3 linked regions of the Schizosaccharomyces pombe genome follow. Changing the gene in region 1 together with any one later gene gives a genetic interaction. Each region holds a gene or a part of one and is shown on either strand. Other genes may lie near its edges. The genes, in order: cdr1, shf1 and sol1.

Region 1 (3,758 bases):
CGGGGGTATAGAAATTACGAAACATCTTGAAAAAACGTCAACGAATGCATCAACAAGATCTTAGCATGTTTCGGATATGTCATGGTAAAGTTCGATTGCTTTGTGCATCTCCGTTAGCAGCTGCATCAAGCGAGTATCCAACGATGATCATCTCGATTCGTTTTGTGTGTTCATGAAACCCACGCCTTGCGTATGAAGTTGCCCACTTTGTATGACAATGAGATAATCTTACACTGCAATAAGGCCATATACCCGTAGTTGTTGGTACGACCACTCACATTCCAAAGTCCAACTCAATAGTGAAGAAATTCATCATTGGCAACAAGTCATCAACACTTCGTTGCTGTTGGACACTTCTACCAAACGTTCTTTATTGACAACTTTGAACGGCTTCGGCTGCATTCCCGAGCCCTGTAACGCCTATCTTTCATGTGGCTCGGAATGTAAACCAGAAACTCAGACAAATACCGCTGTTGGATCGCACTGATGATATTTGTTTATCGAGGCTGTGTTCATTTTTCTTAGTCATTTTAGCGTAACGAACTGACACCGAAAAATATCAAGCAATCAAGTAGATCCATCTGTCCAAGCACCAACCACATCTTTGCTCGATAATCAAACTTGGATTACCGATAGTTAAAGGTGAAGGATCGGTTTTGCTGGTTTCATTCGATTTTCCAAACATCGTCGATTCAGTAGACTGGGGTTGAGTCAGTATCCAAGCCATTCTTGCGCTCAATTGATAATTATGGTAGGTTACCCAAATGTTGTATGCCAACTGTATTACTTACCCGTGGTTATATTTTGAAAACAGCGAAACTGTGTAAACAATTTCTGTTTGTTTCTCAATTGTTTGTGGCGTACACGTATTGCAGCTCTCAAGTTGCTATAGTATATTTTTATTGTCTAATAAAAATTTAATGAATTTATTTAGTTGAAATATTTGCAGTAAGAATGTTCATGTTGATATACCATGTAAAAAAGTCACATAAAGTTGAGCAAGCTGAAAAAGAATAAGTTTTCGCCTCCAAATATAAAAATTTCAATTAAATTGTAGAAAATTATAGATTCTTTATAATATCGTAATTTCTTAAGCGGGGCCTATAGTCTTTCATCAACTTTTCACGACAGTCGTTGTTATTCATACCATAGGATGAAGACGATTTCAAACATCCAATATTCGCTTATAATGATGAAATGAACTTCAGTAACCCGTTCAATACATTCATTATATACTGAGATTTCATCTATTATTGAAGCAAGTTTCAATGTTTGGCATGAAGCCGGCTCTAACACTTGTCAGATTTCAAGTACCTGTTTTCATTATTTTTTTTGCTCAAATTTTCAAAAAAAGTGTAATGGCATGTGTTATCAGATATGGTATGCATCATGTCCCTGGTTATCCCCGAAGTAGAACGGGTTCTTGACCGTGCTACCAAGTCGTGTTACTTTTCGATGAAAAACTGGAATTCCCTGCTAAAACTACACGAGTAAAACAAGAAAAAATATTCATCTATTGCAATAACTTGCTCCTAGATTGCCAAAACGAGTACTACGTAAACAAATGTGAAAGAAGCAGAAAAGACTGCTAAAGTTGCTTTTAACGAAAATGTAAATAAGAGAAGAAAAGACAACTTTAACGGTTCGATTTTACTACAATATGAATATTAATTAAACTTCATAAAGCGAAACTGAAAAACTAAATAAAATTTGCTCTACAGCTATAAATCAGCTGTTAATATTCAAGTTTTTATCAAGACAGCACTATGAGCCTGAGATTACCACCCTCAAGGACTAGAAACCAAGTAGTGGATTGCTTCCGTTCCTTAAGTCATCCTATCGTGATCCGCCGAAATAATCGTAAGCCTTCAATACACTCTTCATATGTTCCCTGATCAAGTCCAAGTAGTGCCCCACCCTTCCCTACTCTTGAACACTTATATCCGCTCCTCCAGCATTCATGTTGTCCTCTGCCAAACTTATCTTGGCCAATTCCGTCTTTTGGACTACTCTGCATAAGAACTCAGCATTGTTTTCGATTTTAGGAATTGCTGGGATCCTGTTTGTATTAATATTGTAGATCGATATTTTGAAACATCTGTAGGCCTTCTATATAGTGGGTTGTTCTACATATTATTTATTTATTCATTCATCTTTCTTTGTTTTACTTACTGTTCTCCATATTTTTATCTGATTATACAGGGTTTGAATTAAAATCCGTTAGTTTATTTTATTCTACCTTTTTCAACTATTTGACCGCCCCAATATTTCCATTTTTACTTTCTCCTTTCTTGTTTCTTCTCTCTTTTAATTTATGAAAGTTCAATCCTTATTCGAATATCATTAACTTAACCTTTATTGGATTTATACATCACGAATCTTATACACTTTACATACTTTCTTTATTTTACGCTCCCCTTCGTTTCTTTTTCTTTGTCTTTACCTTTTTTTATTGCTGTTACTCAAAACGTCTTGTAACTTACATTTGTTATTTGTGTTCTTGTGCTACTTCCCATTTTTTTTTCAAGGTCCGTCTATTTCCGTTCCACGTTTCACTTTTCTGTTCTACAATACACTCAGAAAAGTGCTTTAGGTTATTTATGAGGCACTCTTATTTTATTAATTCGTTTCCAGTATCTATTTTGTGATCACACCCTATTTTGTATCGTGGTGTCATTCACTTTTTCCTTTACTTATTCCAAATTTCATGCTACTTTTTCGACATTTATTCTACTTTTCATCATAAGTATTTCAGATTTTCTGAAGTTGCTATTATTCAGTCTGCAATTTTACTTTTGGAAAGCCTTTTCCCTTAATAAAAGGTTAGATTTGAATGGTGAAGCGACACAAAAATACTATTGGCGTATGGCGTCTTGGGAAGACTTTAGGGACTGGTTCCACTAGCTGTGTGCGTCTTGCCAAGCATGCTAAAACTGGTGATTTGGCTGCCATCAAAATTATCCCTATTCGATATGCCTCCATAGGAATGGAAATCTTAATGATGCGTTTGTTGCGCCATCCTAATATTCTTCGACTATACGATGTTTGGACCGATCATCAGCATATGTACTTAGCACTCGAGTACGTCCCTGATGGTGAGCTTTTTCACTATATACGCAAACATGGACCTTTGAGCGAAAGAGAGGCTGCGCATTATCTTTCCCAAATTCTTGATGCTGTAGCGCATTGTCATCGCTTTCGCTTTCGCCATCGGGATTTAAAACTTGAGAATATTCTCATCAAGGTAAATGAGCAACAAATTAAAATAGCTGATTTTGGCATGGCCACTGTTGAACCAAATGACTCTTGTCTTGAGAATTATTGCGGCTCTTTACATTATTTGGCTCCCGAAATTGTATCTCACAAACCATATCGTGGAGCTCCTGCTGATGTTTGGTCTTGTGGTGTCATCTTGTATTCATTGTTGTCGAATAAGCTCCCCTTTGGTGGTCAAAACACAGATGTTATTTATAATAAGATTCGCCATGGCGCATATGATCTTCCTTCTTCAATTTCTTCGGCTGCGCAAGATTTGTTACACAGAATGCTAGATGTAAATCCAAGCACGCGTATAACAATTCCGGAAGTTTTTTCTCATCCATTTCTAATGGGCTGTACATCATTGAGCTCTATGGATAGCACTACCCCTCCTACCCCTTCACTGTCAATTGACGAAATTGATCCATTAGTAGTTGATTGCATGTGTGTGCTTTGGAAAAAATCATCCTCTAAAAAAGTCGTTCGTCGTCTTCAACAGC
Region 2 (3,758 bases), 2.1 Mb from region 1:
GCTTTCGTCGTTTCACCTTATCCATTATTCATTTCTTTGGAAATTCATTGCTGCCCTGACCAACAACGTCAAATGGTTAGTTACATGAAACAAGCATTTGGGGATACTTTGGTGATGAAACCCGTTACCGCTAACGAATCAGTTCTTCCTTCACCCGAAGATTTACTGAACAAAATTTTGCTGAAAGTCAAATGTTCAGCAACACCATTGCACCAATTTTCGACAGACATACTGAAGGTTGGGATAACTGATTCTTCGACTGATACTACCGAATCATCGGAGCTAGAAAATTCAGAATTAACAGGGTTAAGGAAAGGTAAAAGACGGATGAAAAATATCATTGTGCAGGAATTGCAACAGCTTGCACCTTATGCCCGATCATTGAAATTTCGAAATTTTTCTTTACCGGAATCAAAAACGTATAGCCACATATTCTCATTTTCGGAAAGGACTATAAAAAAGCATGGAAAAGCTATGGTTCCAAGACTTAGCAAACATAATTTACGCTATTTGTGTCGTGTATACCCTGGCCCATTGAGAGTAGGAAGTACAAATTTTAATCCTCAGGTGTATTGGCGCCTGGGTGTGCAAATGGTTGCTCTAAACTGGCAAACTTATGATACAGGTCTTCAAATAAATGATGCTTTGTTTATAGCTGATCCTCCGACTGGGTACTTGTTAAAGCCACCTTGTCAACGAATAATTGGTACAACAGTTGGCGAAGAAGGACTTCCTCGTAAAATAAAATTAACAATAGATGTCATATCTGGGCAACAACTTAGAAGAGCTAGAGAACTTTCTAATTCTGAAACTCTCAGCCCTTATGTTGAGATCCAAGTTCATTCAATGGAAGAATCTCCTTTTCGTTGGTGTTCCAAAGTTGTGCACGAAAATGGATTTCGACCTTTTTGGGGAGAAACCATGGTTTATGAGAGTATAATTAGTGATGACTTTTATTCCATGATCCGATTTCTCGTCCATCATCGAGGAAGTAATGGAAATGACTCTATATTTGCTAATTTTACTTGTCCGATTGACAGACTGCAACAAGGCTATAGACATATTCGTTTATTGGATATGCAAGGCGAAAATTTGTTATTTTCGAGTTTGTTTTTGAAAATTAAAAAAGAAGACATTTAGAACGCTGTGTCCATTACAGCACTTTCACCGTAATGAAACTTCAGAAAATCTAAAATGCATATTATACGTTAAAAGGGAGAGAACCGAAGTAGTCTGAGAATGTTTAGAGTGTATGAAGCGTTTTTTTATTTTTATTTTTTTTTTTTAAAAAAAAAAACGCTATACAAAAACATTCATGTTTATAAATATGGGTTTGGGATAAAACTTTCAATAAAAAGTCATAATAATATCCACAAAGCGGAAGCTCAATGATTTGTACGCAGACGATGATTGCAATAATTTATTTAGAAGCTGACATTATTTACAAAATCGTTTAAGCTTTTTACAGCTGCATCACTACGTAGACCTTCTCGGTATATATCCGTTCTAATTTTTTCCCAAAAATGTACTTGTTGAGCGTATTGTTGTTCGACATTCAATAAACTCTGGGATGAATTCTCGCACGCAGACTTGCAGCTTTGAAGTTTACTTGACAAACTCGAGTCTGGAAGATTAATCTTCGGCAATTCTACATTCGTATCCGTAGAAGCTGCCCCAAAAGACGCTCTTGTTGAATTATTGCTAGGGACTCTATAATGATAGGGAGAATTGTGTTCCTTGGAATTTGTAGATGAAGAGGGTGAATCATAACTAGATCTGGGTGTTTTTGTTCTTTGATGGTAGGATTGTCGGCTCCTATAACTAGATTCATAAAAACTGTTTTGATCAACGTTTGATTTCAAAGGACTACGATACTGGTGGTCGTTTCCATCATAGTGGTAGTCATTTCTTCTGCTGCTCATTAAAGTGAATAATTAAGTGCTGATATTAATGGTTCTTTTTTTTCACGAAAAATGTACACTATCTAATTAAAACAATTGGTTAAAGAACCGAAAAATAGTAATACTTAATTCAATTAAAATCACGGTGTGAGAAAACGGTTTGAGGTAAGACTATTTTACGTACCGCGTTATATAAAGCCCTTCGCCCATATCGATGTTTGTTTGTTGTTTAATATATTAAGTCTAATGATATGGGCAATACTACGTTGAAAAGCTAAAATCGTTTAGCAGGAATGAAATAATATTATATTTATATTTTTTTATTTGAGAAATGTCCGCCTGCTGTTAAAAAATTCCATGCGAATGTTAGGTTTGTCTGTTGTCTTAAACGAAATGGGGTGACCTTAGGAAAGTATTATTACTTAGTTTTAAGCCAAATAATATGTAGCATAAATTGTAGTTGATTACAAATGTTATCTGCTTCTATCTCCTATATATATTGTTTGCCAATTGTTCCATCGATGTTAATCATTTTTCTTTCCAAGACTCCGCAGGATGTGTGTTCAAGGTCTTAATAGCATCTCCAAATATGGGCAGCATTACTTAATAGTTAAAAAAGGTTCTTTACAAAGACTTGGAAAGCTAATTTATTAGTACGAGGTCTTGCTTATAACAACTTTACTGCATTCCCTCCACACTTTACTTGATACACAGATGTACTAAACACAATCCAGCTAACCCACAAAGTTTGAGTGTTATTTAATTTGCGCCTTTTTTTGGATCCTTTATATATTGTAAAACTAAGTTCTTAGATAATTATATTTTACTACTGTTAAAACATTCTATTTCAAAATGGAAGTAACTGTTTCAAACCTCTCTTACACGTTTTCTCCAAAGCAGCCTTTAAGTCTTGATCACGTAACTTTAGATCTTCCTAAAGGATCAAGGACTTTACTTGTTGGAGCCAATGGAGCTGGTAAGTTTCGCGGTGTTATGGAAATTGATGAAGAATATTTAAATGCTAACTGATGTCCTCTTGGAATTTTGTTAAACAGGAAAATCAACTTTACTTAAACTTTTATCTGGAAAATCGCTTGCGAAAGCAGGACATATATCGGTGGGTGGTAAAGATCCTTTTCGTGAGTCTAGTTCTGCATTTGTTTATTTAGGAACTGGTAAGTTCTTTTAACATCAAATTTTACTGATGTGTGCGTTTGTAGAATGGGTTAACAACCCTGTTATACATAGGGATATGAGTGTTGCACGATTAATTGCTTCTGTTGGAGGAGATAAATTTGCCGAACGTAGGGATTTCTTGATTTCAATTCTTGATATAGATCTTCGTTGGCGAATGCATGCAGTGTCCGATGGTGAAAGACGACGTGTTCAACTATGTATGGGACTTCTGCGTCCATTTGAAGTACTTTTACTTGATGAAGTAACTGTAGATTTGGATGTTCTTGCCCGGGCAGATTTGTTAAATTTTTTGCAAGAGGAAACGGAAGTAAGGAATGCTACTATTGTTTATGCAACACATATATTTGATGGTTTAGCTGAGTGGCCAACTCACTTGGTCCATCTCAGTCTTGGGCGTATCGTGGATTATGGACCAATATCCAAGTTTGGTGCTCTGATGACAAGGTCCTCTACGGGAAATAGCGCCCTTCTAGAGACATGTTTGGAATGGCTCAAAGAAGACAAAAAAAATAGGGGAACTCGAGAAGAGGAAAAGCGTAGTACCTGGGACGACGTTCAAGAATCATTAAAAGTTGGAACTGATGTATTTACTGATTACTTTAAGATTTCCCGAGCAAAATAGATTACTAGAAAAGTTATCCTTTAGATGCTTAATTCTAT
Region 3 (3,758 bases), on another chromosome or scaffold:
ATCTTCAAAGAATTCCGGAATGTCTTGGCAATTCAAATCATAAAAAAGTTTACACTCCAAAAGGATAACCTGAAATAAACTGTTAAGAGACTCTGCATCTTGTGGACCGTTACGCAATAAGTTGTTGGTTTGCACGAAGAGAGCGAGAAATGGTTCGCAAAAACGATCCAACACATATTTGATCTCCAAAAAAAGTGCATCGCTACGGAATAAAGGTCTCCAGCGCTTAAAAATCGCATGTGCAGTAGAAAGTACAGCAATATTCGTGTTCATGTCAACAGCAGACAATTTAGATATCAGATCGGGGAGAAGAGTGTCCCACCGATCAGGGAAATCAAAGTTGGCAATATAACCAATTACTTCACCTAGCTGAACTTGAATAATGGTAGTACTTTTCAGCATCAAGTTGATTATTTCGCGTTTGATCAATTCTGCCACCTCATCGCTGATACGAATAGAAGCACCTTCCTCAGAATCCCAATGTTTTTTAATGTAATTTTTGAAATACAATGAAGCGGCCAGCTTAATATTGATGTCTACTGTATCCTCAGCGACAATATTGAGGAGTTTTAGTGCAAAAGAACTATCTTGTAATTCCCATACTTTCAGTGCTTCCTCAGCTATATCAGTTAGTAAATTTGCTTTATCCACTCTGTTGGGGTATCTTACCACTTTTGGAAGTCGTAGGGTTTAATGTTCTCGCAAGAAGAGTTGGAATGTCATCCATAGTTTTCCTACAGGGATTGTGGTTAAGGGCAGATTTTGAAGGACACCGACGTAACTAGAACAATTTCTCTAACATCGTTATAGAGAATTTTTAATTCCGGTTTTATTTATTAAATAATTTTCTCTTAAGTTTGATATAGTTAACATCTTTTAATTAGTTTGTTTGCTTCTTTTTCAGGCTTGTTAATGTAATACTTTTCTTCGCTTAATTTTTGTTTTTTTTTCTATTAAAACACCCTAATATACCAATATTTGTAAATAAATAGTTGGACTATACTTGATAAATTACTTAAAAAAGGAATTAAAACTAATAAAATCTATAATTCATTATCAATAATTCAAGGGTTCACATTTTAATTATCAGCTTGTAAATACCTAATTTCCGAATTACTTGGTTTTAGTTTGCAAGCTCATTAAACATTTTATGAACCGTCAGAATAGAAATCGCTTTATACGTGGACTTGAAAGTTGTGTTAGTTGACTTTTGTTTCAAATCTAATTCTTGTTTATGCCATCAAATTCTACATGTGCAATATAGCATCTCCATCTTTATCTCAAATACTACAAACCTTTTTTTATTGTAGTATTTAGTTTTTTTCCTTCTTGAATCGGATATTCCTTTTGCGAGTTGACTTGAAACCATAGATTTGCAAAAGTAAATAATTAAGTCATAAACATATATATTTTACACGTACAAGCCCTTGTCCATAGAGTTCAACAACCTAAATCCAATTGCTTGATAATAGAAATTACCATATTCTACTATCTTGTTTCATTCATCAATAGGTTTACACATATGAAAGCACGTTTATAGAAAACAATGAAATTTATAAAATGACATTGCGTCGAGTCTTATGTAGCCAGAAAGAAAGAAGGAAAAATAATGAATAAAAAATAAAAAAAAGGTTAGACCAGATAAATTTGAATTAATGTGTCAATTTTGATTGCTCCTTTCAAAAAAAAAAAAAAAAAAAAAAGAAAGAAAAGGAGGATAACGGGATCTCGAATATGTTAACTCATATGCTTTTACTATTTTAAAAAAAAAAAAAATAATTTATTAAAAAAATATCTGTTTCCGCAAGAAGAAGATGTTGTACTCGTGATTGTTTACAGTTTCGCCAAGTCTACTAACAGAGCAAGTTAATAAATATTGTTTCTATTACAAGAGGAATAAGATATTATTTTGTTTTTAAAATTTTAGATACCTGACTAATCGATAAATGCTTCCCAATGCTAACAATTGTCATTGACTTGGAAATAAGAGACACTGCAAAGGCAAGAAATCACGTTTGCGAGATTTAAAGGAATGAGTGTAAAGATTTTTTAGGAATTTAAGCATTTTCTGAAACACACAGATTAGGTTCTTAAAGGCAGCACTAAACAACTCGTTATATGCACTTCGTCTGCTTTTCAAGCACTTTCAGCTGCCAAGCGCCTTAGACGTTAATATATTGAAACGTGTATTTTAAGGTCCCTTTACTCTTTGTTTGATTTAGTATGAGGAATCATGAATAATCAAGGGTTTGTTCCTGCGAGTGATTATCCAACCGCAGTATCATATCCCACGCAAGGTCAAAGTTATAATACTCAGGAAGAACAACCTGCGTATCCTCAACGCTTTTCGACAAGCCAAGGGATGTATGCAGCAGAATATGGAAATGCAAACATGATGAATACTTCCGAGAATGAGCCTAACAATTTGGCTCATTCACAGCCCTTCCGACAATCTCCATCAACTCAACGTAATTTGCCAAATCAATCATTTGATTTCGCCTCTAACGGTGCATGGAATGGCTCTGGATCTGTGAAATACTCTAGTCCCATGATGCCTTCAAGTCGGATCCCGTTTCAACAAGAAAAAGAGGCTGCAATGCAGCAGCAACAACAACAGCAACAGCAGCAACAACTTTATCAACGACAAATGCAAAGCAGAGAGGCCTTACTCTCTCAACAAATTCCTCCTAATCAAATTGGCATCAATGCCCACCCAGCTGTAAGACAAACTCCTCAACCTGCACCTTCCCCAAATACTCCCTCTGGTAATGCTAATCAACTAACGCCTGCTTATGCTGCTAGTTTTGACAAATTCATGGTTAGCCTTATTTCTTTTATGGAAAAGCGGGGGACGCCAATCAAATCTTATCCTCAAATAAATAATACGCCTATTAATTTAATGATGCTGTACGCCTTGGTTATGCGTGCCGGTGGATCTCGACAAGTCTCAGCTCATAATTTTTGGCCAAAAATTTCTGCTTCCTTGGGGTTTCCATCTCCTGATGCTATTTCCCTTCTAATTCAATATTACAATTCCTATCTGCTTCCATATGAAGAAGCATGGCTTGCTGCTCAACAGCAACAAAAATCACTTCAACAAGCAAAAGCTAATCATTCTGCGAATGTTCAAAGCAGACCAAAAAACTATCCACAAAAGCCGGTCCAAACCACCCCAGAAGCTGTACATGCCAATGGTTCTATGCATGGATCACTTCACTCAAAGTCACCCTCCCCAGCATTCACCGCTAATCGTTTCTCTCCAGCTGCTCCTACCACAGTTAGTTCTGAAAGAAATGCTCCACCATACCCTTCTGCTCCGACTCGACCCACTCCGCCCACCGTTCAAACTTCTTCTTCGGCAGCTCCTGTTGATTCTGCCGAACCCGTTGCTTATCAACCGATAAAAAAGCCCATCGATCCTATGTTGGGTTATCCCTTGAATGTCGCGGCCACGTATAGGCTCGATGAATCTTTGCTTCGGCTTCAGATGCCTTCAATCGTAGATCTGGGGACTGTAAACATTCAAGCCTTGTGCATGAGCCTGCAATCTACTTTGGAAAAAGAAATAACGTATGCAATGAACGTTTTACTTATATTAACAAATGATCAAAAATGGATGTTTCCGTTAAGTGAGTGCCAGGATGTAGTTGATGCGTTGATTGACGTTGCAACTCAGTGCCTTGATAATCTGCTATCTGTTCTTCCTAATGAGGATTTAATGGAAATCGCCGATAAACGTCCTTCTTATAGACAACTTC

What was found.
Region 2: mutations in cdr1 (region 1) and shf1 together harm fitness more than expected from each alone (negative genetic interaction), as found in Schizosaccharomyces pombe (one large-scale study listed by BioGRID).
Region 3: of cdr1 (region 1) and sol1, changing one enhances a phenotype caused by changing the other (phenotypic enhancement), as found in Schizosaccharomyces pombe (one study listed by BioGRID).

What each region holds. Positions count from the first base shown.
Region 1 is NC_003424.3:2,680,622-2,684,379, reverse strand, and holds the start of cdr1 (serine/threonine protein kinase (NIM1 family) Cdr1/Nim1), read left to right. Parts: upstream 1-1,972; 5' UTR 1,973-2,833; coding exon 2,834-3,758. UniProt on the Schizosaccharomyces pombe protein: This protein, a dose-dependent mitotic inducer, appears to function as a negative regulator of mitosis inhibitor wee1 by phosphorylating and inactivating it.
Region 2 is NC_003424.3:4,809,346-4,813,103, forward strand, and holds the start of shf1 (histone H2B-K119 ubiquitin ligase complex (HULC) subunit Shf1), read right to left. Parts: upstream 2,064-3,758; 5' UTR 1,923-2,063; coding exon 1,425-1,922; 3' UTR 1,141-1,424; coding exon of another isoform or gene 1-1,140. Other genes in the region: phosphoinositide phospholipase C Plc1, read left to right, coding at 1-1,140; CCR4-Not complex subunit Caf16, read left to right, coding at 2,754-2,877, 2,957-3,076, 3,122-3,720. UniProt on the Schizosaccharomyces pombe protein: Component of the histone H2B ubiquitin ligase complex (HULC) which plays a role in transcription regulation by catalyzing the monoubiquitination of histone H2B to form H2BK123ub1.
Region 3 is NC_003423.3:1,310,200-1,313,957, reverse strand, and holds the start of sol1 (SWI/SNF complex subunit Sol1), read left to right. Parts: upstream 1-2,155; 5' UTR 2,156-2,233; coding exon 2,234-3,758. Other genes in the region: karyopherin/importin beta family nuclear export signal receptor Kap109, read right to left, coding at 1-620, 670-727.